2 linked regions of the Pelodiscus sinensis genome follow. The protein of the gene in region 1 interacts with the protein of each later gene in a pairwise test. Links are inferred from orthologs where the notes say so. Each region holds a gene or a part of one and is shown on either strand. Other genes may lie near its edges. The genes, in order: LYAR and PRKRA.

Region 1 (12,406 bases):
CAGAAACTGAAGTTCTGATGCTCAGCTGGTGAGATGCATTGTTAGAATGTCAGGCTTGTCTGCTCTTCTCTTCATTTCAGACTATTTTTCAGAACATGCATTGTTATTTAAAATAAAACACCTATACATTTGTTTCCAATATGAATGCTTGTTTTTAGTATGCAAGATTTTTCTGAAATAAAGTTATAAAAAAGAATATTAAATATATATATTTAAAGCATTACCTGAATCCACTCCTGTTGTTTAACATCTCCTTTGTTAGATTTGGCTTCATAACCCTTGCCACCATATTTCTGATCTTCGCTTAAACATTTCACATGGCTCTTATAATCATCACCCCTTAAATATTAATAAGCCACACTTAAATTCTGTAAACAGTGTTCCACTTCAATTAACAAAACCGTTAACAGATCACATTCAGTATCTCAAACGAGGCAACTTCACAAATTTAGCATCTAATTCTATGAAACAGGGATGTAAGCAGCTAATTGACTATTTGATAAGAAAAAGCTTATTGGATAGTCAACTAGCCCCTCGACTAGTCACTTCTCTCCCTCCTCCTCCCCCACTTGCTGACTCCATATGAGTCCATCAGAGGCAGCAAGAGGGGGAGCAAGAGCTGGTGTTGCGGGTACCAGCAACATTCACACATTCAGAGATGCTCAATGACTTATTTGTTTTGGTCTTCACCGAGAAGTCTGTAGGAATGCCCAACACAGTGAATGCTAGTGGGAAGGGAGTAGTTTTAGAAGGTAAAATAAAAAAAAAAAACAAGTTAAAAATCACCTAGAAAAGTTAGATGCCTGCAAGTCACCAGGGCCTGATGAAATGCATCCTAGAATACTCAAGGAGCTTGGTACAGGAGGTATCTGAGCCTCTAGCTATCATCTCTGGAAAATCATGGGAGACAGGAGAGATGCCAGAGGACTGGAAAAGGGCAAATATAGTGCCCATCTATAAAAAGGGAAATAAGAACAATCCAGGAAACTACAGACCAGTTAGTTTAACTTCTGTGCCAGGGAAGATAATGGAGCAAATAATTAAGGAAATCATCTGTAAACACTTGGAAAGTGGCAAGGTGATAGGGAACAGCCAGCATGGATTTGTAAAGAACAAATCATGTCAAACTAATCTGATAGCTTTCTTTAATAGGATAACGAGTCTTGTGGATAAGGGAGAAGTGGTGGATGTGGTATACTTAGACTTTAGTAAGGCGTTTGATACGGTCTCACAATATTCTTATCAATAAACTAGGTAAATACAACTTAGATGGGGCCACTATAAGGTGGGTGCATAACTGGCTGGATAACCGTACTCAGAGAGTAGTTATTAATGGTTCACAATCCTGCTGGAAAGGCATAACAAGTGGGGTTCCACAGGGGTCTGTTTTGGGACAGGCTCTGTTCAATATCTTCATCAACGATTGAGATATTGGTATAGAAAGTACGCTTATTAAGTTTGCAGATGATACCAAGCTGGGAGGGGTTGCGACTAATCTGGAGGATAGGGCCATAATTCAAAATGACCTGGACAAATTGGAGAAATTGTCTGAGGTAAATAGGATGAAGCTTAATAAAGACAAATGCAAAGTGCTCCACTTAGGAAGGAACAATCAGTTTCACACATACAGAATGGGAAGCGACTGTCTGGGAAGGAGTCTAGGGTCATAGTGGACCAGAAGCAGAAAGGAATCTAGGGGTCATAGTGGACCACAAGCTGAATATGAGTCAACAGTGTGATGCTGTTGCAAAGAAAGCAACATGATTCTGGGATGCATTAACAGGTGTGTTGTGAGCAAGACATGATAAGTCATTCTTCCGCTCTACTCTGCACTGGTTAGACTCAGTTGGAGTATTGTGTCCAGTTCTGGGCACCGCATTTCAAGAAAGATGTGGAGAAATTGGAGAGTCCAGAGAAGAGCAACAGGAACGATTAAAGGTCTAGAGAACAGGACCTATGAGGGAAGACTGAAGGAATTGGATTTGTTTAGTTTAGAAAAGAGAAGATTGAGGGGGGACATGATAGCAGTTTTCAGGTATGTAAAAGGGTATCCTAAGGAGCAGGGAAAAAATTGTTCATCTTGGCCTCTGGGGATAGAACAAGAAGCAATGGGCTTAAACTGCAGCAAGGGAGGTTTAGGTTGGACATTAGGAAAAAGTTCCTAACTGTCAGGGTAGTCAAACACTGGAATAAATTGCCCAGGGAGGTTGTAGAATCTCCTTATGTAGAGATATTAAAGAGGAGGTTAGATAAATGTCTATCAGGGATGGTCTAGACAGTATTTGGTCTTGCCATGAGGGCAGGGGACTGGACTCGATGACCTCTCGAGGTCTCTTCCAGTCCTAGTATTCTATGATTCTATGATCTGTTAAGCCCTAGCACACAATCATTGACATACCAGAAATCTTTGCCACAATCCATACAAGAGAGGCACTGGCAGTTCCTGCAAATGTTTACATGTTTTTCAACCTGTCCTTTCTTCACAGAGTCTCCACATGCACTGCAGGTAAAGACTACCATTTTGGTGAAGCGATCAAAATAATTTCTTCTCAAAAGTGGTTAAAACTGGTTCTTTTCCAAATCCAAACCTACAAAAAATGCAATTAAAGTTATAACTCTGAAAAAAGCGTGTGAATTATATTTAAAGTGTATGTAGCTCTAGCTACCAATATCAAATCTATCAGATTTCATGTGAACAAGATTCTCAAGTTAACTGTGCTTCTAAGTAACATTCATTTTTAATTGCAAACATTTTTCTCTGTGTATACAACTCAAACAATTATTCTGATTGTTTTTAAAATAGAAAACTGCATCAAACTTGGATCATCTCTGATTCTTGCTTTTCCTTCTCTCTTCACATAAAGGTGCTTGCCAAATCTTGCTGTTCTCTCTTTGTAATATTTCTGTAATATGTTCTTCCCCTTTGTCTCTGATGTCAAAATCCTGGTTCAGGCCCCGTAGTGTTCTTTGACACTTGGATTAATTTAAACTCCTCTGTTCTAAAGAGGGGAGAGTCAGTGATTCTATGCAACTTTCAAAGGGACAGTCATGTTAGTCTGTATCTGCAAAAACAAGGAGTCCTGGGGAACCTTAAACACTAATCTGTTATATAGCCACAGGACTCCTAGTTGTCTATACAACTTTTGTACTAGGGATGTAAAAATGTGTTTAAAAATGTTAACTTTGTGATCACTAAAAATCATAGCAGTTACACACGCTGCGGGCTCTGCAGTATAAAGCTTAAATAAGCTTTATACTGCAGAGGCCACAGCGAAGCCTCCTCAGGAGTAGGGCTGCTGCCAGTCCCACTCCCAGAAAACCAGTGTGTAAGCTGCAGCGAGGAATGGGCCAGGCCCCACCAGACAGGGGTTGCTCCAGCTCCTACGGGTTAACCGGAATCGGTAAACCATTTATATCCCTACTTTGTACTGATTAAAAGGCTACATCATCCCTTCCTGATGTTAACACAGACTGCCAGTCAGATTTTGTATGAAGATCAAACTCATCTCTCTAAAAATTTAAGTCTTTACCTATTTGACCATCCATTGCCCTCCACCTTGTTCTTCTTAGTTCTCTTTTTGTTTATTCTCCCAGTCTTCATTTCTCCCCTTTTAAAAAACCTCCTCCCATATTTGGCCCTCACTAAACACTATATCGGGGTGGGGAACCTTTTTGGGTTGGGGGCTGCTGACCCACAGAAAAAACAGTTGGGGGGAGGGAGAGGTGTTGCACACAAGTAAGAAAAAAAACACCTCACTGACCAGGCCCCTGACTGAGATGGACACTCCCTACATTCTCCTTGCACTCCAGAGCAGGGTGGAAGCACTAGGCTAGTAGATTTTGTGTGCTCCAGTCCCATGGTGGGGCAGCGGGGGGCTAGAGCACCAAAGCAGGCTCCCCAATGCTGGGGGAGAGCCCTGAGGTTCAGGGGCCAGATCCAGGCAGTAATGAGGGGTGGGTTTTTTTGTGTCCTTATCAGTGCCCCCTGATTTTTCTGAGCCAGTGGCCCCTGACAGGGAAAAATAAAGCTCTCTACCCCAACTTAGGGTATGCTACACCAGTGGTCTCCAACCTTTTTAACCACAGAATCAATTTTTCAATTTAAGTGCAATGCAAGATCTACCTCAAACCCGAATACCCTTGCCCTACTTCCTTCCCACCCCTTCTTTTAGGCCCTGCCCCTGCTCCACCCCTTCTCCGAGGCCTCACCCTGCTCACTCCATCCCCCTTCGTTCCCCATCCTCACTCACTTTCACCAGGATGGAGTAGGGGTGCAGGCTCTGATCTTGGGCCAATGACTTTGGAGTGTGGGAGGGGCTTAGCCCAGGGTGAGGGATTGGTGTCCAGGAGGGGTTTCAGTGTGCAAGCCCTGGGAAGGAGCTTGGGATCAGGGGGACTCATGTCTGGGGCAGGAGGTTGGGTGCAGGAGGGGGTTCAAGGCTACGACAGAGGTTCAGGAAGCAGGCTCTGGCTGGGCTTCCAGGTGGTGGAGCAGCAGAGTTAAGTCAGGCTTACTCCTGCTCTAGCGCTGCACCGCTCCTCAAAGCAGCTGGCATGTACAGCAATGGCTCCATGGCACCATGTGCTGCCTTCCTGTATAGGCTCTGAGCCCACAGCTTCTACTGACTATGGTTCCTCATTACTAATTGATGGGAGCTACAGGAGTGGTGTCTGCAGGCAAGGATAGCATAAGGAGACCCACTATTCTGCCTCTCAGGGGCTGCAAGGACATGCCAAACACTTCCAGGAACAGCAATTACACCATAGGGATAATTAGCCCAGCCACACCAGGTTAGACATGTTAGAACTCCCTCCTCAAAGAATTAAATTTAAGCATAAGAGAGAAATGAACATTATGAACTGCACAGACCAGTCAAAACCCAAAACTAACACACTTTGCAAGCAGTAAAAGCAGTAACACCCACCCTCCAGTATATGTTAGGTCAGGAGATGAGAGGACAGTTGGTGTTTGTGAGACTGACACAGACCCACACAGTGTGACAGTGTCAGAGATTTGCATTGCCACGCTCCTGCCAGCCCCTTCTCTCCGTGTGGAGATAAGGTACAGAAGTGGGGAGACGGGACACCCCGCCATCAGTGCCCCCCTGCTCCCTCCCACACCCTACACAGCAAGAAGGAGGCTTCCAGGGGGGCAGCTCCAAGGCAGGAGCAGGAGCAGCAGCAGGACAGGGGGTGGAGGGGCAGCTGAAGCGCCAGCACTTGACAGACTCCAGCCCAAACCGGTCAGGATCAGCTATAACGCCCTTCCCCTGCTGGGCGCACCAGCCTGGTGTTTCCCTCGGCCAGCCCGGGGCGGGTCGCTGGGGGTCGTGCAGGAATCTCCCGTCCAGCGTCCATCCCTGCAGCGCAAGCGCTCGCGGGCAGCCTACCGGTCAGAGCGCGCGCCCAGCCGTTAGCGTCCCGCCCCGACCGGCTCGTGCAGTCAGCGCGACACAAGCCCTGCCGCCGCTCCCCACCCTCGGAAGGCGCCCCGGGGCTCGAGGCGATCCCAGGCATGGCTGGCCCCTCCACTCACTTTAAACGCTGCGCCACCGCCTCCAACGGCCAATCCCGCCTGACCCCGGCACGTGCCTCCTCCACTCGGTCGCCGCGGAGCTTGGAAGGGGGGGGGGGGGTTTCGACTCCGCTGGGCCCCAACTGCGCCTGCGCTCCCGATGGGGTCACCCTAGCCCCGCCGCACGTGCGCCTCGGTGTCCCCGTCGCGCCGTCCCGCGTGCCTGCCACCGGGAGTCCCCTCCGCGCGGAAACGGAAGTGCTGCCACCGGAAGTGCCGGGCCGGAACGGGAGGGTGGTGGCCCCAACGGGGTAGATCGAGCCGATGATGGAGAGGAGAGGCGGCTGGAGCCGGTAGGAAGGTTGGGCGGGAGGAGGCCTTAGAGCGGCTCCCCAGTCCCGAGGGAGAGGGGCAGGTCCCTGCCCTCAAGTCCTGGGAGCCGCGCTCCGGTACCGGGGCCAGGCCCCGCCCGGCCACACTCTTCTTGGTCAGTGACTTGGTAGTTAGCACCTGGTGTCCGCCCCTACCCGTTGCGCAGCTGCCCCCGCTCCCCCCGCGTTGTACTTATAGCTGGTGGCGGTAACATTGGGGCCAAAACAACCCATCGTGCGCTCACAACATTGCACCAGCTCCTCTGTAATATCTGTGGCTTGGGATGAGCTGGGGATCAATATAGTAACCCTTCTCCTACTCTCCTTCATTACACCAGTCCCCCATGACTGTGGCTAAGGATGAACTGGGAATCAGTATAATTCTTCCCCTATTCTTTCCCCCATTATGCCTGTGCCTATGTAAAGTCTGTGGCAAGAATTATTATGACCCCATATCTTCCTTTCCCCCACTCCCCAATATTACAACAGCCCCCATATCTGTACTTAGCATCACACTTGAATGTATCCTGCATCCCCAACATTATACCAGTCCCCCATGACAGTCCCCAACGAGGGGGGATGTGAAGGTGTAGAGCTGACTTGAGAGTTAGTATAGCACATGTCTATCATGTGCAGATGTGCACTACCAATAGAAAGACATGCTACCTGCTGTGGGTGCTCTACTAATCAGGTGGGTAGCATTTAAATCTCTTCTGGGTGGCTGCCTAAGAACTCAGTTTACAGGAAATACTGGTTAGTGTAATCTCTATTTGTTCCCTCCCCTTGACCCTTTAATATTAGACCAGCATTCTCTACCCCCACACATTTATGTTAGGGCTGTAAATAGGGCTAATCTGGGGGTTAGCATAACTACTGCATATTTCCCTCTTACCCCACTCACTAACATTAGGCAAGTGCTGTCCTTCCCCCAATAATATACTTGTAGCTAGGCATAAGGTTGGGATTAGCATAAACCTTGTATAGCCTCCTCTCCCAATAACAATACATCAGACTTTCCCTCACTTTTACACAAGGATGAAAATATCTTAAATTTCTTACAAGTATTGTTGTATCACAACAGGAGTCCCTCGGGGGGCGGGGCAAGTGTCAGGGCAGGAGAGTGAGGGGGAGTTGTGATCAGACAGTACCTGTAAGAAATGTAAGTGTGGAATGGAGTGTAGGGGGGCTCACGGCAGGGGATTGGAGAGGTGGGTGTTGGGAGCTCAGAGCAGGGGGTTACTGGTTTGGGGTTGGGCAAGGAGTTAGGGCAAGAGGTTGGGAAGTGTGGGGGCTCAAGGTGGAAGGTGCAAGAGTTAAGGCAGGGGTCTGGAATGGGGAGGATCAAGGCTGGAGTACCCAGGAGCAGGAGCAGGGGCAGCCACCACCAGCATCCCCAGGGCTGGAGCTGGCATCAGCTGAAGGTAGGGAGGATGTGGGGGTGTAAGAATCATGGCAGGGAGTTGTGGAGTCAAGGCAGGGGTGTGGAGAGTGTGGGGATGTGGGAATCAGGGCAGGGGTTTGTGGGGTGGGGGTGGGGGCTCAGGACAGACTGCTCTGCCCAGCCACTGGAGTACTGGAGAGGCAAGGACTTGCTTGCCCAGCCACCCAAGCACTGTGATGCCTGGTCACCTGAGCACTGAGGTGGTTGGGACCATTCTATCCAGCCACTTGAGCACCAGGGCTGTAGTCTGGGTGTGATGTGGCCGTGCTGCCTCAGGGGTTGGTAGCATCTAGAGCAGTAGTCCCCAACGTGGTGCCCGCGGGCGCCGTGGCGCCCGCCGGGGCATTTGTGTGCGCCTGGCGACAACCTGGGCCGGCCCCGCCCCTGGCGCACTGGAGGCGCCAGCCCCAGGCGCGCGGCGCTCTGGCAGCCCGGGGCACATGTGGGCGCGCAGCGCCGGTGCCGGCCCCAGGCGCGCGGCTCGGGTGGCAGCGCCGGGCCTATGGCACAAGGCACTCGGGCGGCCCTGGCCCCGGCCCTGGGGCACATGCCGGCGCCGGGTGCAAGGGCATCCCCGCCCCTGGCGTGCCCCAGGACGCGCGGCCCCACCCCCAGGGCGCCTGGCGCGTGAGTGGCCCCACCCCCCAGGCGACTGGCGCGTGAGTGGCCCCGCCCCGAGGCGCCTGGTGCGTGAGTGGCCTCGGGCGCCCGGGAGCCTCTAAAGGTTGGGGACCACTGATCTAGAGCCCAGCCAGCCAGTCTCTGACCCATGAGCTGTACTGGGGCGCACAGGCTTACTTTCACCTTTGGGTTAATGTAAGGGTGGTGTCACTCTCACATTCCTTGCATGCTAATATTGGAGCAAACGATTCCCTGTGTTATATCTGAGGCTGTTTCCTTTCTTATTCTGATTTCATGAAGACTTCTTCTAACATTTAAAAGAACAACCTAGATTGCTGCTGATTTTATTCCTGATAAGACAGTGACTCTAGCATCTTTGGGTTCCCTTCCACCCCAAGGGAGAGAGGCACTTGCAATCACCATCCTTAAACACAGTCACCAATGTTGCAGATTGCTTCAGTAAACTATCAGATCCTGTGGAGTAGGGAGAGGTTTTAGGGACTATCATAATGTTAAGAGGTTTTCAGTGAACTCTGATAGGAATTTTAACAATCGGCGTAGTGAAATAATACTTCTGAATAGCAGATGAGTATAATTAGGATGCATTCAAAGGCAATGCATCAAAAATACTCCAGGATGGTGCCCTGTAGTAGTCCTGAAAAAATGATGGAAAACTAATTTAATAGTGGGATGCAAATATACAAATTTCTTTTGATGGGTGACCCAATTAAAATTTCACTGATACATCCAGTAGTGAAGAGAAGCCCCTAAAATATTGTATTCTTCCTCCTTTCTTAGTCTTGTAGGCAAAAATTAAAATAAAGCATAGGTTATGTACAGCTCTTCATTTGGGAACAAATGTTAGATATTTTCTATTCCAGATCACTTTTGTGAGCAGCTCAAAGAGACTTTAAATATAATGTACTTTCTTTTCTGTGAAAAATAGTAATGTCTAATACTGCTATATTTTATGTATATGACAACTATAAGTGAAATGTGTTTAGTGCTACAGCAATGAGCACGATATAAATATATTTGATAGTAACTGAGTTTGGTCATTGAAGGATTTTCTGTTCTGATTTTAGAGAATTAAGAAACTAAGTTTTTTCCTGTACCAGGTACTTGTTAAATTTGTGGATCTTATCTTTGGATCTTCTGTGTTCTGTTTGCTTAAGTCTAATACATGTTGAAGTGAATATGGAGTATGTATAGCTATAAAGTTTAATTTTTTTGCAGCATCTCCATTACCAGATATTTGTGCACAAATCATTGTAATAGGAAATATTCACTTTAATAAAACTTTCTGTGTGCATGGTTACAGACATTAATCATCAATAGTTTGTTCATTAATCTTTAAATTGCTGGAATATGATTAGACATCTGTTTCCCTTGCAAGATAGGGAAAATAGTAGCAATACATTAATTTTAATGTAATTTAAAATTTGTTCTGCAATTGCACTATTGTAATTTAAAACTTAATTCCCAGAGTATTTTTATATGTTGTAGGTAATCAAATGGTATTCTAGCATGGACACTGTTGCTAGCCATAGTTGTCATCTTCTCCAGCAGCTACATGAACAGCGCATTCAAGGCCTTCTCTGTGACTGCATGTTGGTAGTAAAAGGTGTCTGCTTCAAAGCTCATAAAAATGTGTTAGCTGCTTTCAGTCAGTATTTCAGGTATGTAGTAGGAAATATTGTTATTGCAGAAATAAACAGGATACTGTATAACTCATGTCTTAATCTCTGAGGAGAGAACTTTTTTGCTAGCTAGGAATGCTAATCACAGGTTAGAAGAAAAAAGTAAGGAGAACTTGGATCATTTGTCCAGAGATAATCTGTATCTCACATTTGGTCTAATTAGAAAATATGGTATGCTTAAGTTATTTTGTACTTGTACTTATTTAGCCAGTAAGCTCTTTGAGAGCCTCTTTTCATTGCATACATACAGGACCCTAGCATAGTGGGGCCCCAATTTCTGGTGGGAGGGTGTTGACAAAAATGCAGTACATAGTAATACGCACTCCTTCCAAAATGCAGTTTGGGTTTGCATTGCAATACGGTGAGCAGAGCCAGGTGAGAGATTTAGTGGGTCAGACAACCACATCATTGTCCTTTGCTCTTTGGTGTTTAAAAGGAAACAGAGCAGGAGGACAGTTTTCTTTTTTCAGTTTTTCTGAATATGTATCTGTATCAGATTCACATATTGAAATATCTTGATGTGCTAGTCAGTGCATCTGTAACATAAGTGTGTCAGCAGTTCCTGCAGTGAGCAGCATTTACTATTCACTTGTCTTGGGATGCTGGGTAAGACAATTTTTCTTGCCTGTCAGTGAATAATCTGGTATGATTTTTTTACCCTGTATCTTGCACCATCACTAAAGCATGTGCTACCAAGACTTCCTGAGGGGAAAGAAAGTTGATATTCAAATGTTTCTCCACCTGTCCAAGTGTCATAAACACTGTCAAAAATAAAAGGACTCATGCCCAAAGACTTTTGGCCACCAAGTTTGAGCTGAAGGGAGTTAGGATCCTTTAAACATTCCAGCCCAAAAATAATAAAAACAATTACAGAAGGCTTAGGTAGTACAGTAGTGCACATTTTATATGCAAACAATTATGTATATAAAGTGATTTTGTTCTATGGATATGGCCACAGCTTGAAAAATTTACCATCCATTTAAACCTACTTGTTAGAGGCAGAGCTCTAAGTAGGATGTACCCTAGTGAGGTACACTGGCAGAGCCCAAAGGAAGTGCTTATTTGCTGGAAGGGGGAAATACCTTGGTTTTCCGAACTATAGGGTCCCATCTTTATTTTAATTTTGATTAGCTAAATATAGTGCTTCCTTTCTTACTCCCCATTCTGTTTGCCAGAAGGAAAGGGGAAGCCCCCCCTTCTCTGTCAATTTACTTGTGCACAAACAATACACTAACACAAGATTAAAGTTGATATTTAGAACACATAAAATAGGAAATTATAAGTATACAGTGAGATTTTCAATAGCTGTTAATGTTAAAGTCAACAGTAGAACTCCCATTTCATAGAACCATAGGGTTTGAAGAGCCCTCAGAAGGTCAACAAGTCCAACCCTCTGCTAAAAACAGGACCAATCCCAACTAGCTTATCCCAGCCAGGACTTTGTCAAGCTAGGACTTTACTTCTAGTGATGAAGATTCCACATCCTCCCTAGGTAACCCATTGCAATGCTTCTCCACCCTTGTAGTGAATTACAGAATTAGGCTAATTATGAGCATTTTCAAAAGTCCTGTCAGTAAATACCAGAGCAACTGTCTTGCAGCCCCATATTACATATTGAGTTATTGATTCACTTTGGCGTAAGATATTATGTTTGACAGATATTTTATTTAAAAAGTTCAAACTAGTAGGGTATATGCTTGTATATTATAAAGAGTTATGCTTCATTTCATCAGGACCCTATTTCAGAATTCTCCAGGCCAGAAGAATGATGTTTTTCACTTGGACATTAAAAATGTAGGAGGTATAGGCCAAATCTTGGACTTCATGTACACCTCACACCTTGATCTTAGCCAGGATAACGTACAAGCTATGTTGGATATCGCACAATGTCTACAAGTGCAAAATGTGCTGAACATTTGCCATACTTTTTTAAAATCTTCTACAGCGGTAGAACAGCCTGCTAGCATGCCTTGCAATAGTGTGTTCTCCTTGCAAAGTACTTTGGCTACAGAGACTAACTGTGTAAATGAAAATTATGGTACTAACTTACTGCATGAATGCTCATCAGATGCACAACCGAGTAAAGTGTTGGATGACCATCATTCTCACGGATCACAAACTATTAATCTTCATACTTCCTCAGGTGATGTACAGAAACAGACACAAGACTCCTTAGATGGTAATTGCACAGAGCTCCCTTTTAAACAGCCAAATTACTATTATAAACTGCGTAATTTTTATAGCAAGCAGTTCTACAAGCAAAATGCATGTTCCAACCAAGAGAGAATAACAGAACAGTCCTTTGCATTCAATACATCTACTGAACTAAGTACGGTAGAGAACAATTCTTGTACTGTCAGTCAATCTGAATGTATTTTGGAATCGTCTGACCACTTACCATCAAACTTTCTGGTTCAGGCCTTGAATGAATCTACACCAGACCAAGATTTGGAAAACACGTCCTTGCAGCCAACCCAACAGATGCAACTGAAAAAGGCAATACACCTGAAAAAACTGAATTTTCTAAGATCACAGAAGTCTGCAGAACAGTTGTCTGAACCTAAGAGAGATGACAACAATATAACAAGGGTAATTGAATCTGTAAATGGAAGTGCCATGGAGATGACAAATATTAGTGCCATTGAAGAAAAAGAAACTGAAGATCTTGTTAGTTCAGAGAGTTTTGAACAAACTGTTGAAATGGAAATATCTCAAGGTCCTTCAGAGCAAGAAGAGCAATCACAGATTCTTCAGTCAC
Region 2 (11,645 bases), on another chromosome or scaffold:
CCCATGGCCAAGAATTGATCAGATTGGCAGACTGACGACTCTAAAGGTGAAGGCATCCCTAAAAACAATTGATTAACAATCCAGGACAGGGTGAGCCTCTTGGAGATGTTTTGGGAGTGATTAACATCAACAAGATAACAGTAACTGGTCACAGACTGACATAGCGAAGTCCATAGACTTCAACAGAGAAAAAGGATTATAAAAGCAGGGTGCTTTGCTATAGAACTTTGGGTTCATCTTGCCACCAACTCCAGAAGAACATTGGATCATGACTGACAAAAGACCCTGCTCTCTCTCTGTGATCAATCTGACTGGCCACTAGATTGGTCCAGACTCTGGACTGGTAACTATAACATCATCTGGCAGGACTGTGTGGCTGTGTCTACACTGCACCCCTTTTCCGGAGGATCTTTTATTCCTACTTTCAAGCTGAGGGGAAGTAGGAATAAAAGTACTTGAAAGTAGGAATAAAAGATCCTCCGGAAAAGGGTTTATTTTCCGGAGAATCACGTCTAGACTGGCGCTTTTCTCCGGCTTATCCCCAAGCCGGAAAAAAGCGGCAGCCATGTTAATGCAAATACCGTGGGGGATATTTAAATCCCCCGCGGATTTTGCTATTCCAAAGTGTCTAATCTGCATCCCTTTTCTGGAAAAGGAGTGCAGTGTAGACACAGCCTGAGTGTATGGTGTTTGTGTGTGAGAGTGACTGAAAAGCATATGCAACTGTTGTATTCTCAATAAATGTGGCGTACTGCCTTTTCCCCTATAAAAGATCTCGCGTGCTTTGTTTAAGCATAACATAGGGGGTGCATGAGTTAGGTGGTAGGTTGAGGAAGGGGGCTGGAGATGTGAGGGTATGTGAAAGTTGTGGAGTGCACAGGGGGTCGAGGTGGGAGGTCTCATCTGCTAGGGCCTTTTCTCTCCCTCCAGACACCCCAACCAACAGGGGTCATCTCTTCTCCCCCAGCCAGAAAGAGCCTTCACTTTCTCCATAGCCCCTCCAGCCAGCAGGGGCCATCTCTCTCCCCAGGATCCGTCCTGGCAGGGGACTGCTCTCTCCCCCCAGCCCTCCCAACCAGCAGAGACCTTCTCTCCCCCCAGCTGACCCAGCTGGCAGGGGCTTTCTCTCTTCCCCTCAGCCAGCATTTCATAAGCATATTTGCGCAATTTTTAAATAGAAGTTTGACTATGTTTAAATTTATTTTCCATTTCTCATTAATTGCTTGAGTCATTAAGATAATTATATTTTAACTATACTAATGCACCACCATACTACATATTATAATTAAATATATAACATGAGGTCTATACTTATTGCAAAAACTTAATTATTCAGGCTTAAAAAAACCAAAAAACGTACCTGCTGAAATTTCTTTCTCTCCCTGAAGAATGTCTTTTAAAGTGAAAGGTGTTGAAGCAAATTTAGATTTTCTTGAAAGAAAACACTTTTTCTTCTTTATAACAAGACTCAGAGGTTGGTATTTGTCAGCTTCACTGAGGCTAGGAACGGGGACTAATCTCCCACCATCACCAACCTGCTTAACAAAGTTTTTGGTAGCAGCAGCAAACATATTATGATATTAATCATAAAAACTCCTGTACCAACTGCATCTTCAAAACTTCATACCCATGTTAAAATATTTTACAATATTTTTGTAACTGAACTATCACATAACAAAAATTAAAGTCTAGCTGCTTTGTTTAAAACCTAGTACATTTTGTTTGGAGAAGAGAATCAGTAGGTCATCACCACCCAGCTTCTACAGTATATTGCTTTTACAGCTTCCCTTATGTCAACTAATCCTGCACAATGAATAATACATTAACTGTGTAAACTGATACAAAGATGTTTGCTTGATCTTTAGTAGTATAAGGCCATTATCTGAAAGTAAGATGATTGCTTTAGAATCAAAAGACTGCTACATTTTGCAATCTTTTTTGTTGTGATTGCAAAGACAGTGATATATTTGCTGTTTAATGTGCCTTTTATCCAGCTGGATCCCAAAGTGCATTACCAATGGGAATTCACCTGAACAGGCCACCTAAGCTACATAATTGTGTAAAGACTTAACACTTTTTTAAGGGAAGGAGACTTCTTTCAGTAGTGGCTGCATAATAGCTCTGTTAAAGACCTCAGCCTGGAATAAATACATTTCAGATTGTGAGCGCCTTTCTAAACTTTTTTAGCTGATGAGTAAATAGGACTTTGTCCAAATTTACTGTATGCTAGTGTCTCCATAGGGTGAGGGAAGTAGGGATTTTGCTGTGTTTTGTGGTTTCACTTCTGAAAGGGTTTACTTTGCTGATGTTTACTCTTTTCTGGCAGGTTGGTGTATTAGGGTCATGAGGGCTTGAAATTTATGTTTTCTGCATCAGAAAGGACATTATTGGGTTTTATTGCCTACATGATCAGGTGTGAATTTTGTTCTGTGAGTTTGATGGGAAAGGGGGAGAGGAACATAGCAGTATGTTACTTCATGGATGGTGGTGTGTGTCTGTGGAGAGGAGAAGGAAGGTTGATTGATCTTGTCAGCATTTGGTAGGAGTGACATATCAAGGTACAATCCCGACTAATGATTGGCTATGTCATCCCTTTCCTATAACCTGGGATGCCCTTTACAATGTAGACTCCAAACTGGACTGGTCACCACCAGTATGTAAATCACTCCCAGCTATGTCTGAATGAGTGCTGCAGATAGACAGTCAAGCTTTGGCTCTTACTGATTTAGTTTTGCTGTGGAGCATGATGGGCAACCTAGTTCTATGTGTGGTCCACAATACATTTTGTTTACCACTGCCTAAGTGTGGAGTTACCAGATTCCACTAGTTTCCGTTCATGTAAGCTTTTTCCTAACAATATTAAAGTGACATGTATGTAAAGCAAAAGCACATGAAGTGAGGTGTGTGCTGAATGCATACACATTGACTGTGACAGCCATATGTTCCCTCTGCATCCAAAGTGCTATTATGGTTCAAACTGCACACCCACAAATTCTAGGTACAGAAGAGCAGTTAGCAAAACTACCCTACTCCAGGAAACCATCATGGTTACAACAATCTTGCAACCCATTCACTTGTCTAGGTCACCAAGCACTGCTGCAGGGTGACAGCACATACAGTCTCAGTCCTAGATTTTCCTCCAGAAATGTATGTACTGTACTGCACAGCCCTCTCTTGAGCAGTACAAATATACTGAGTCATTATTCCTTTAAGGCAGGGGTCTCCAAACTTTTCAGCCCGAGGGCCGCATTAACTATCAAACAGCAGTTCGGGGGCCGACTACACACTTGAGGTCCAAATAAAAAACAATCAAAACATGGATGTTGTTTTTAATTATTTATTTAATATTATTTTATTCAGTTATTATTTAATAACACATTGATACACTACACATGAACACCTGTATTAGTGTGAATGGTGAAATTGTTTCCTGGATGCCAAAATAGCACACATTTCTGGCTTTAGATTTGTTGTCCCTAACATCAACAGTGACCTGAGATTATCATCGGACAAGTTTGTTCTCAAATTGTTCTTCACATATTTCAGACGTGGGGAACTCAGCTGTTGCTTCAGCCATGAAGACCTTGCACTGCTGAAAGTGCGTCAAGTTGTTGGCCTGTACTTGTTCCAAAAACAAATTAGCAGCATGCCAGGCACATGCTATGGGGCACTGCATTAATGCACTGGGGAAAACTCACCCTTCAGGCCAGCGAGAAGAAATCCAGAGAGTGAGAAAAATACTTAAAAGGAGCAAGGGACAAATGAAGCATTAAAAATTAACATTTTTCCTCACCTAGAAGCTGATTTTAGGCACTAGATCTGGTGTTTTAGGAGAGATCTGAAAGAATTTAATATCGATTTAAATCAGGGGTCACCTTTTTAAAGTTCCCGCGGGGGTTCACGTTCCCCCGCACGTCGCCGGGCGGGCGTTACCACCACCGCCCATCCTGCCCCCTGATTGGCCGGCTGCCCTGTCAGTCTGGGCGGGGGAATGCTGCCCGTGCTAACCCCCGCCCCTGCGCCGTTTGCCGCCGCGCGGCCGCTTGTCATTGGAGCGGCCCGCTTCTCCTGCCCCGGCGCGGCGTGAGTACACGCCGCACACCCCTGACAGGGCCCCCCCCCACCGCGGCAAGAAGGGCCCGTTCGGCGGCGCCCCAGGGACGGTCTCCACGGGCCGGATGAGAGGGCCTCGCGGGCCGCATCCGGCCCGCGGGCCGTAGTTTGGAGACCCCTGCTTTAAGGGACTAATATGCACACAACTGAGTTACCTGGACACTTCAGCTTGAACACACTGGATTTGATACAAAACCTTTATTGACTAAAAAGAGAGAGCTTTCAAGTGAATACAAGTAATGAGCCATAGAAATAAAAAAAAATGGTTACAAGAAAAATAAAGGTAAAGTGCTAACATAACTACATTTGATTCAAAGGAAAAGTTTTCTTACCACATGCTTTCAGTCTTAGATCAGGTCACAGACCCTGGCCTATTGTATACAATAGCTGATGCTTTTGTTTCCTTAGGTGCACAGTGGCTACACTCCCAGGCCCGAGCTCTCTCCTCATGTCCTCTTCCCGGACTCCTGCACTCCAGGGCTGGCCCACAACATTTTGGCACATGAAGCGGGTAGCTCAAAAGACACCCCCATGTAGGGTTGCCAGGTGTCCGCTATTCTACCAATCTGGTTTTTGTGTCCTCTGTCTGGTAAAAAAAATTCAGAAAATACTAGACATGTGCAATGCCCGATATTTTGTTTTTCTGGCCGGGTGCTGGACGGAAGCCTGGCAGGGGCAGAGGAGTGGCTGGGAGGCAGAGCTGCGATTGGGGCTGGAAGCCTGTGGTAGCGTGCAAAAACCTGGTGGGGACGGGGGTAGCTGAGACTCCCACACACTCCCGCGGCCTAGCTTCTACACTCAACCAGAGGGAGTCCCAGGCTGGGAAGCGGGGCTCTGATTGGTGCTGGGAGCCTTTGTTTGCGTGCAGAAACCAGGCGGGGGGTGGGGAGAGTGGCTGGGAGGCGGGGGTGCAATTGGCCCTGGGAGCCCTCAGCTGAATGCCTCTGAGGAGGAGTGATGTCTTGAGGAGAAGCTCTGTCCCTGCTCCTGAGCGCTGTTCAAGCACGTTGTAGCGCTGTAGTCCAGGAGAGAAGCCCACAGGTGCTTTGTAGTTGAGTTTAGGTGCCTTTCGTGGGTGCTCAGCCAAAACTGACTGGGGTGGAATTTCTGCTTCTTTCCACTGGGACACCCAATTTTTAGCTGGTGCTGTTCGGTATTTTTTAGGAGACCATCTGGTAACCCTACCCCCAGGTCCCCTCCCTTGGGCCAGCAGCAGACACAATTTTCTACACTCTGGGTCCTAGTGGTGCCCCCCCCCCCGGCACCTGCCGCAGCCACCACAGTTCGCCTCATGGTAAGGCCAGCCCTGCTACAGCCCCTCCACACTCCTGCCCTGAGCCCCTGCCCCTCACACCTCTCAAGCCCTGGCGCTGACTCCCTGCACCCCGGTATCCCCCTCCCCGCACTCCAGCCCACACTTCAGTGTCTTACAGGTACTGTCTTATTACAACCCTCCCGCGCCTGCCCGGACCGCTCCCCCCAGGGCGGGCTGCAATGGCTGCAAGAAATGGGGGCTCCCTTGGCGGGGGCGGCTTGTGCATCACTCCCCGGCCAGCCTGGGCCCACAGGCTGCGTAATGCGGGGAGCTGGCCCCTCACGGAGCGCTCAGCGCAATGGGCGGGGGGGCCGCAGCGGCAGGCGGGGGAGGCCCCCCCCCGCACCACGCGCCGACGCGGCCCCGCCCACAGCACAGGCCGCGGCGAGGCGCTCGGCGGGCGCGGTGGCGGTAGCGGAGGTGGAGGCGGCCGGCCCGGCCATGTCTCAGGAGACCTTCCCGTTCCCGGCCGCGACCCAGCAGAGCCCGGCGGCGGCGCAGGACCAGGCCCGCAGGTCAGGGCGCAGTGGGGCATTGTGGGTAATTAGGGGCCCTTCTCCCGGTGCGCGGGCGGCCGCGGCCACCAACTGCTGGTGGGGGGGGAGAGGCTGGAGCGAGCCCCCGCCCTGTTACCACTGGGGCTGGCCCGGGCCGTCACCTCGCAGCGGGCGGGGAAAGCGCTGCTCCCCTCCGCCCGGGAGAGCGGCTCACCGGCTGCGCCCCGCCCTCCGGCCTGGTCTCCCAGAGTCTCGGCGGCCGGCGCGGGGCCTCGGCCTGGGTCTTAGCCCCGACTCCCGGGGGCTGCCAGTGTAGCTGCCGCCGGTGCGCCTCTGGCCCTGCCCCTCAGCAACCCGGAGCCCCTTTGCGGATCCCTCCCCGCTCTCTGCGGAGCTGACGCCTGTAGCCGTTGTGAACAGGGCTCAGCGTCCCTGCCCAGGGGGAACGTGAGAGCTGAGACAGGGCCCGGGGCTTCCACGCACCTTGTTCAGGGCAAAGCAGCAGGGGCAGACTGATCGGTGCAGTGACAGTCAATCACCCCCCTGGCAAGTAAGAGCCTGATCCTCCAAAGCACTTGGTGCCCCGCAGCCCAGCTTCGCAAACGGAGCCATAGGACAATTTGACAAAAGCGCAGGAGCTTGTGTCATGATACTTCCAACAGCAACATAGTTAGTTGCTTAGTTTAATTAATACAGGGAGGGGAAAAGGAAATCTAGTACATGTTCCAAGCCAGACAAAGATAATGTTTGTATGCCATGATCCTACAAACTCACCTTTGACTTTAAGCATGTGAGTAGCCCCACCTAAAACACCAGTTCCTGAAATAGCTAACACGGCTATATTTCTATCACTGAAATAGCTAGGTGTGTGTTGGAGAGAAGCTATCCAGACACTGTTTACTTTTGTACCTGCTGAGTTTGAGAGAGATTGAATTTGCACACATTATAGAACTGTTGCCTTCAGATATTTCTCACCAATGATTGTTTCTTTGCTGTGGAGAAGTAGTGAATACTTTCTGTATCTGTATCACTTGTCCATGTTGTAACTGAAGCCATTCCCAGTTGTCATGGTGATCAGAAGAAAGCAACAATAGCTTGGAATGTTATTTGGAAAATGTATTCTTTCCCCCATTCCTATCAACCTGTGGAAAAGTTGCCTCTAAAGCAGCATGCAGCTTCCACCAGACTTGAAAAACATATTCTTTGTCCCCATTCCCCTTAATTGCCAGTACAGGCTTTCAGTATCAGATAATTTTTCTTTTATCAGTTAGTGAGATCAGTTTGATTTTTTTTCATAACTTAAGTGGAGGATGACAAGTTGTCTTGAAACACAGATGATAAGACTTCTCTTCATGAGGAGGTGATTCAACATCAGTGCAATTCAGTAGCAGCCAAAACTAACTCAGGGCGCGTCTACACAGCACCTTTAGCTGGAAATAAGTTATGCAATTTCTGCTACGCAAATTGCAGAGCTTATTTCGAGTGTATTTCTAAATTAATTGTGTTGTTACTGCCTGAGCTACCTGTTTTTCCTCTAATTATGGAAGTTCTCAAATGGAGAGTCATGCAACCTCATGGAGTTGCAAGTATGTTATGTGGGGGGTTGCAAATACATATCTCCCAGCTAGCTAACATGTCTGCTGTGAAAAGTGATATTAACATGCAACTATTACTTTAAAATAGTGTAAAATATAAAAAAGTCTTAATTTTTAAGTGTGTGTGTTTTGGGGGGAGGGGAAGAGTCACACTGAGGCTTGCTATGTGAAAGGATTGCCAATAAATACATAAAATTTGACAACCATTGCAATCTTTTCCCATTCTCTGCTGCAGCTATAATACTCTTCCTTTCTTACTGTTTTAAGGGCAACATACCCACCTCTAGAGCCTCTTATTGGGCATTTTGAAACAAGGTTAAGCTCAGACTTCTGCCTAGCCATTGAAAGTTTATTTTTACAGTAGCTAGAGCTGGTAAAAAAAGATGCAAAAGTGGCAAGGAGTCCTGTGGCACCTTGTAGACTAACTGAAGTATTGGAGCATAAGCTTTTGTGGGCAAAGACCCACTTCGTCAGATGCATGTAGTGGAAATTTCCAGAGGTTACATGCATCTGACGAAGTGGGTCTTTGCCCACGAAAGCTTATGCTCCAACACTTCAGTTAGTCTATAAGGTGCCACAGGACTCCTCGCCACTTTTGCAGGTTCAGACTAACACGGCTACCCCTCTGATTAAAAAAAAGATGGAAATTTGAGAGATAATATTGGCCTAGTGAGAAGGGTGCTGCATTGTGTTCTAAGCATGCTATACCATGGGCTCTTGGATAAGTACTATGCATCCCTATATCTTTGTCTCCCCACCACAACGTAATGATGCCTTCCCCTTTTTTGTAAAATGCTTGTAGATCTGTGGATGAAAAGTACCATAGGAGCCAATATTAAAATTTCTTGAAAGTGTTGGTAACAGTAGTGAAACAGGGAACAGCGATTCCCATTTTTTAAAAATCAGCTCTAAATACAGATTTCCCTTCTAAAATGATAAATCTTTTCTTTGTAGCTTGGAGGAAATGATTGTTGCAAAACCAGGGAAAACACCAATTGAGTTGTTACATGAATATGGCACGAAGTGTGGTATCACTCCTGAGTACGAGTTTGAAAAGGCTGAAGGACAAGTACATCTTCCAAGTTTCACCTTTAAAGTTACAGTAGGTGACATAACGGGCACAGGTCTGTAATGTTGCTATACTTTGGTATGGTTGTTGGTAGTGGTTTCAGGAAAAAAATCTTTCTTCCGCTGTGTTTTTCATTAGAAAATACAAAAATAATCATTTATTTAATGGGTTAATATGTTTGACAAATACTGGAAGGCAAGCTTTTAAACTTTGAGTTTCACATGTGACTAAATATTAAACAGTGCAGTTTTAGGCTGTTAATTCTGATTTAATATTTTCAGAAAATTCAGTAAGAAAGGTAAAGAACTATAAACTGAGGCTACGTACGACTGTTCACATACTGAAGGGAAAAGCTCCAAGAGCTGCCTGCTAATTTGAGGATTCTGAAAAACCTAACCACTAGAAACTAAGTATTTGTAGGTATAGTTTAATCCAAACAGACCAATATTTTGTCTTCATGATAGGGACGTATGAGTATGCAAAAACATTATGATTGTGAAGTCAAGTACAGAGAAGTCAAGGAAATACTATAATTAAAGTTGCTTGTGCATCTTTGATTTGCTCCCTTTCTATGCAATCTTGGGATGTCATAGCCTAGGTGTATTTGTTTTTTAAAAACTTAAGGGATTATAGTTCTTTGATACAGAATATCTTCACAGTTCATTAGCAGGATTCAGAGCACAGTACTTGAGGTAATGCAGCAACTAATAATATGCTGTTATTCTCTGTGGACTATCATTAAAATGAGATGGGAAACAGTGTACCAGTGGGTTTCAAACCTATTTGCTAACAGAGGGATAAGGAGATTCATGAATTTGGGGTTCAAATTCCAGATTCTGGAGGAGTCTTCTATTTAGTTACAGGCAGTCCCCAGGTTACATGGATCCGACTTACATCAGATCCCTACTTACAAACGGGGTGAGACAACCCCGCACTAGCTGCTTCCCCCCAGGAGACCAGGGAGACGCAAAGCTAGTACCCCTCCCAGCAGACCAGGGAGACGTGGAGCGGCTTTTCTCAGCAGACACCTCAGCTTGAGAATAAAGGACTGAGGGAAGTGAGGTGTGGGAGAATAAAACTGAGCTCTGGAGAAATGTTTGGCTAGAGTTTCCCCTACAATATGTACCAGTTCCGACTTACATACAAATTCAACTTAAGAACAAACCTACAGTCCCTATCTTGTACGTAACCCGGGGACTGCCTGTATTTAGAATTCTGTCCCTATATCCCCACATCTCCTACAAAATACACCCTAGATTCCCTTAGCAAAGGCACTATAAAAAGCCACCCAAGCCTGCCTTCTGAGGACACAATCTCAAACCTCAACACAGGGATAGATGAAGCATGTCAGGAATAGGGCAACATCACAGAGTGCTTGCTTTAAAGATTTCAGACAGGGATGCCATTAGGGGTAAAATCCCATTTAGTTAGTTAACTAGATAAACATGAAGGTTAACCGATTAAACGGGCAGGCGGAGGCGTTCCTGCCCGTGGCACACCTAGTGCAGCCCACCACGGGGCTGCTCTGACTGAGCTGGAGTGCACCAGGCCTGCCACGTGCCCCTCCAGGCTAGAATGGGCAGGAGAATACTCCAGCCCCCACCATTTAACAGTAACCAGTAAGCATCATCCATTAAAGGTGATGCTTACCTGTTAACCATTCACATCCATAGATGATGTAACAATTTAATAAGAATATCATGTTATAAGGATATCAGATTGTCTATTTTAATACAGGTGAAGGTCATAGCAAGAAGATTGCAAAACACAGAGCCGCAGAAGCTGCCTTGAACATTTTGAAAGGAAATCCAAGTATTGGGTGAGTTAGATTTGGCTGTATAGAACTGCAGAAAATGTCATTACTGATCTAAAACAGTATTCAAAAAAGCACTGAACACACACAATATACTGTCAGTTAGGCTGTTAGGAGACTTCAGTTTCTCTGAGGAAAGTTTTTCTAGTCCAAGTTAAAAATTTGACACACAAATTTTCTAATGTGGTAATCTTTTCTGTAATCTGGATTCTTGTATTTAATTCTTTTACCAGTGAAACTGTCCTAAGATGAAATGTGTTTTTCCAGGTGTTACATCTGTTACAAGATGCTGTTCTGTGCTATAATTTGAAGCTGTTAAGTAGCTTTTTCATCCCAAAACATTCTTTAACAACAACAACAAAAATTGCTTGCATCCTTGACTCAATGTTGGTTTTCTTCATTTAAATCATTGTTGTGAGGTGGGGCTGGAGATGAGGGTTCAGTGTGCAGGCTTCCTTGGGTAGAGAGTTCTACCCTAGCGCTCTCTCTCACTACAGCAGGTTGGGGCCAGGTGAGAAGCGCCTCTCCATGGCCACTGGAGCTGCAGCGGCCACTGTTGGGGGAGGGATATATGTCATCTGCTGGGGAACAGACAGACACACAGATAAATTCTCTCAGATACATAGTAGATAGCTGTCCCTTTCTCCACCCTGGCAACCCCCATTGGGGTTATAGCTGTCCTGATCCCCATGTCTGGCCCCTTGCTGACCCCTGTGGTCATTATACAGTACTAGTATCCCTGTTTTCCATCCCATACCCCATTTCGGGGGCATCCCATTTTCCTTGCAGAGCCAAACCCTTACCTTTAAGTTATGATAAGCTGCATATCAAATTTGTTGGTCCTACCTCTTCCCATTTAGGAGGAGTTCTTGAATAGACAAAACATACACACTCATAGACAAACTCTCTCAAATATTTAAGATGACTCATGTGTGTTTGTTTTCTCTATATAATTGGTCAATTTGCTGTTTGTGCGGTTTCCCCCGCCCCCTGCCATGGAAAAGAGAAAAGACACGTTTAAATTCACAAGTTTTCAGGGGACACATTAGTACAGGGGTGGGTAATAATAAAAAAAATGATAGCCTGCCAGTCTTTAGAAACTGGCAGGCCACTGCTGCTATATTTACTGGTATTGGGAGATCACAGCTCTTGTTGGCTGTGGATTGCCGTTCATGGCCTATGTAAGCGATAGGAAGGGGTGTCCTGGTCGGCACCACTTCTTGCTGCTCCCATTGGCTGCAAA

Evidence for each region.
Region 2: the proteins of LYAR (region 1) and PRKRA interact in binary tests that used the Homo sapiens proteins (3 or more experiments, as listed by UniProt). The two-hybrid records come from large-scale screens. The link is inferred for Pelodiscus sinensis from reciprocal best matches to the Homo sapiens genes LYAR and PRKRA.

The regions. Positions count from the first base shown.
Region 1 is NC_134715.1:110,472,201-110,484,606, forward strand, and holds the start of LYAR (cell growth-regulating nucleolar protein), read right to left. Parts: upstream 5,679-12,406; 5' UTR 5,537-5,678; intron 5,531-5,536; exon of another isoform or gene 5,391-5,530; intron 5,379-5,390; exon of another isoform or gene 5,284-5,378; intron 2,589-5,283; 5' UTR 2,521-2,588; coding exon 2,399-2,520; intron 340-2,398; coding exon 225-339; intron 1-224. Other genes in the region: ZBTB49 (zinc finger and BTB domain-containing protein 49), read left to right, coding at 7,218-7,307, 9,455-9,627, 11,382-12,406. UniProt on the Homo sapiens protein: Plays a role in the maintenance of the appropriate processing of 47S/45S pre-rRNA to 32S/30S pre-rRNAs and their subsequent processing to produce 18S and 28S rRNAs. Also acts at the level of transcription regulation.
Region 2 is NC_134717.1:46,429,326-46,440,970, reverse strand, and holds the start of PRKRA (interferon-inducible double-stranded RNA-dependent protein kinase activator A), read left to right. Parts: upstream 1-5,628; 5' UTR 5,629-5,689; coding exon 5,690-5,943; exon of another isoform or gene 5,944-5,968; intron 5,969-6,027; exon of another isoform or gene 6,028-6,475; intron 6,476-6,900; coding exon of another isoform or gene 6,901-6,981; exon of another isoform or gene 6,982-7,347; intron 7,348-8,474; coding exon 8,475-8,644; intron 8,645-10,326; coding exon 10,327-10,408; intron 10,409-11,645. Other genes in the region: PJVK (pejvakin), read right to left, coding at 1,361-1,535, 6,901-6,981. UniProt on the Homo sapiens protein: Activates EIF2AK2/PKR in the absence of double-stranded RNA (dsRNA), leading to phosphorylation of EIF2S1/EFI2-alpha and inhibition of translation and induction of apoptosis.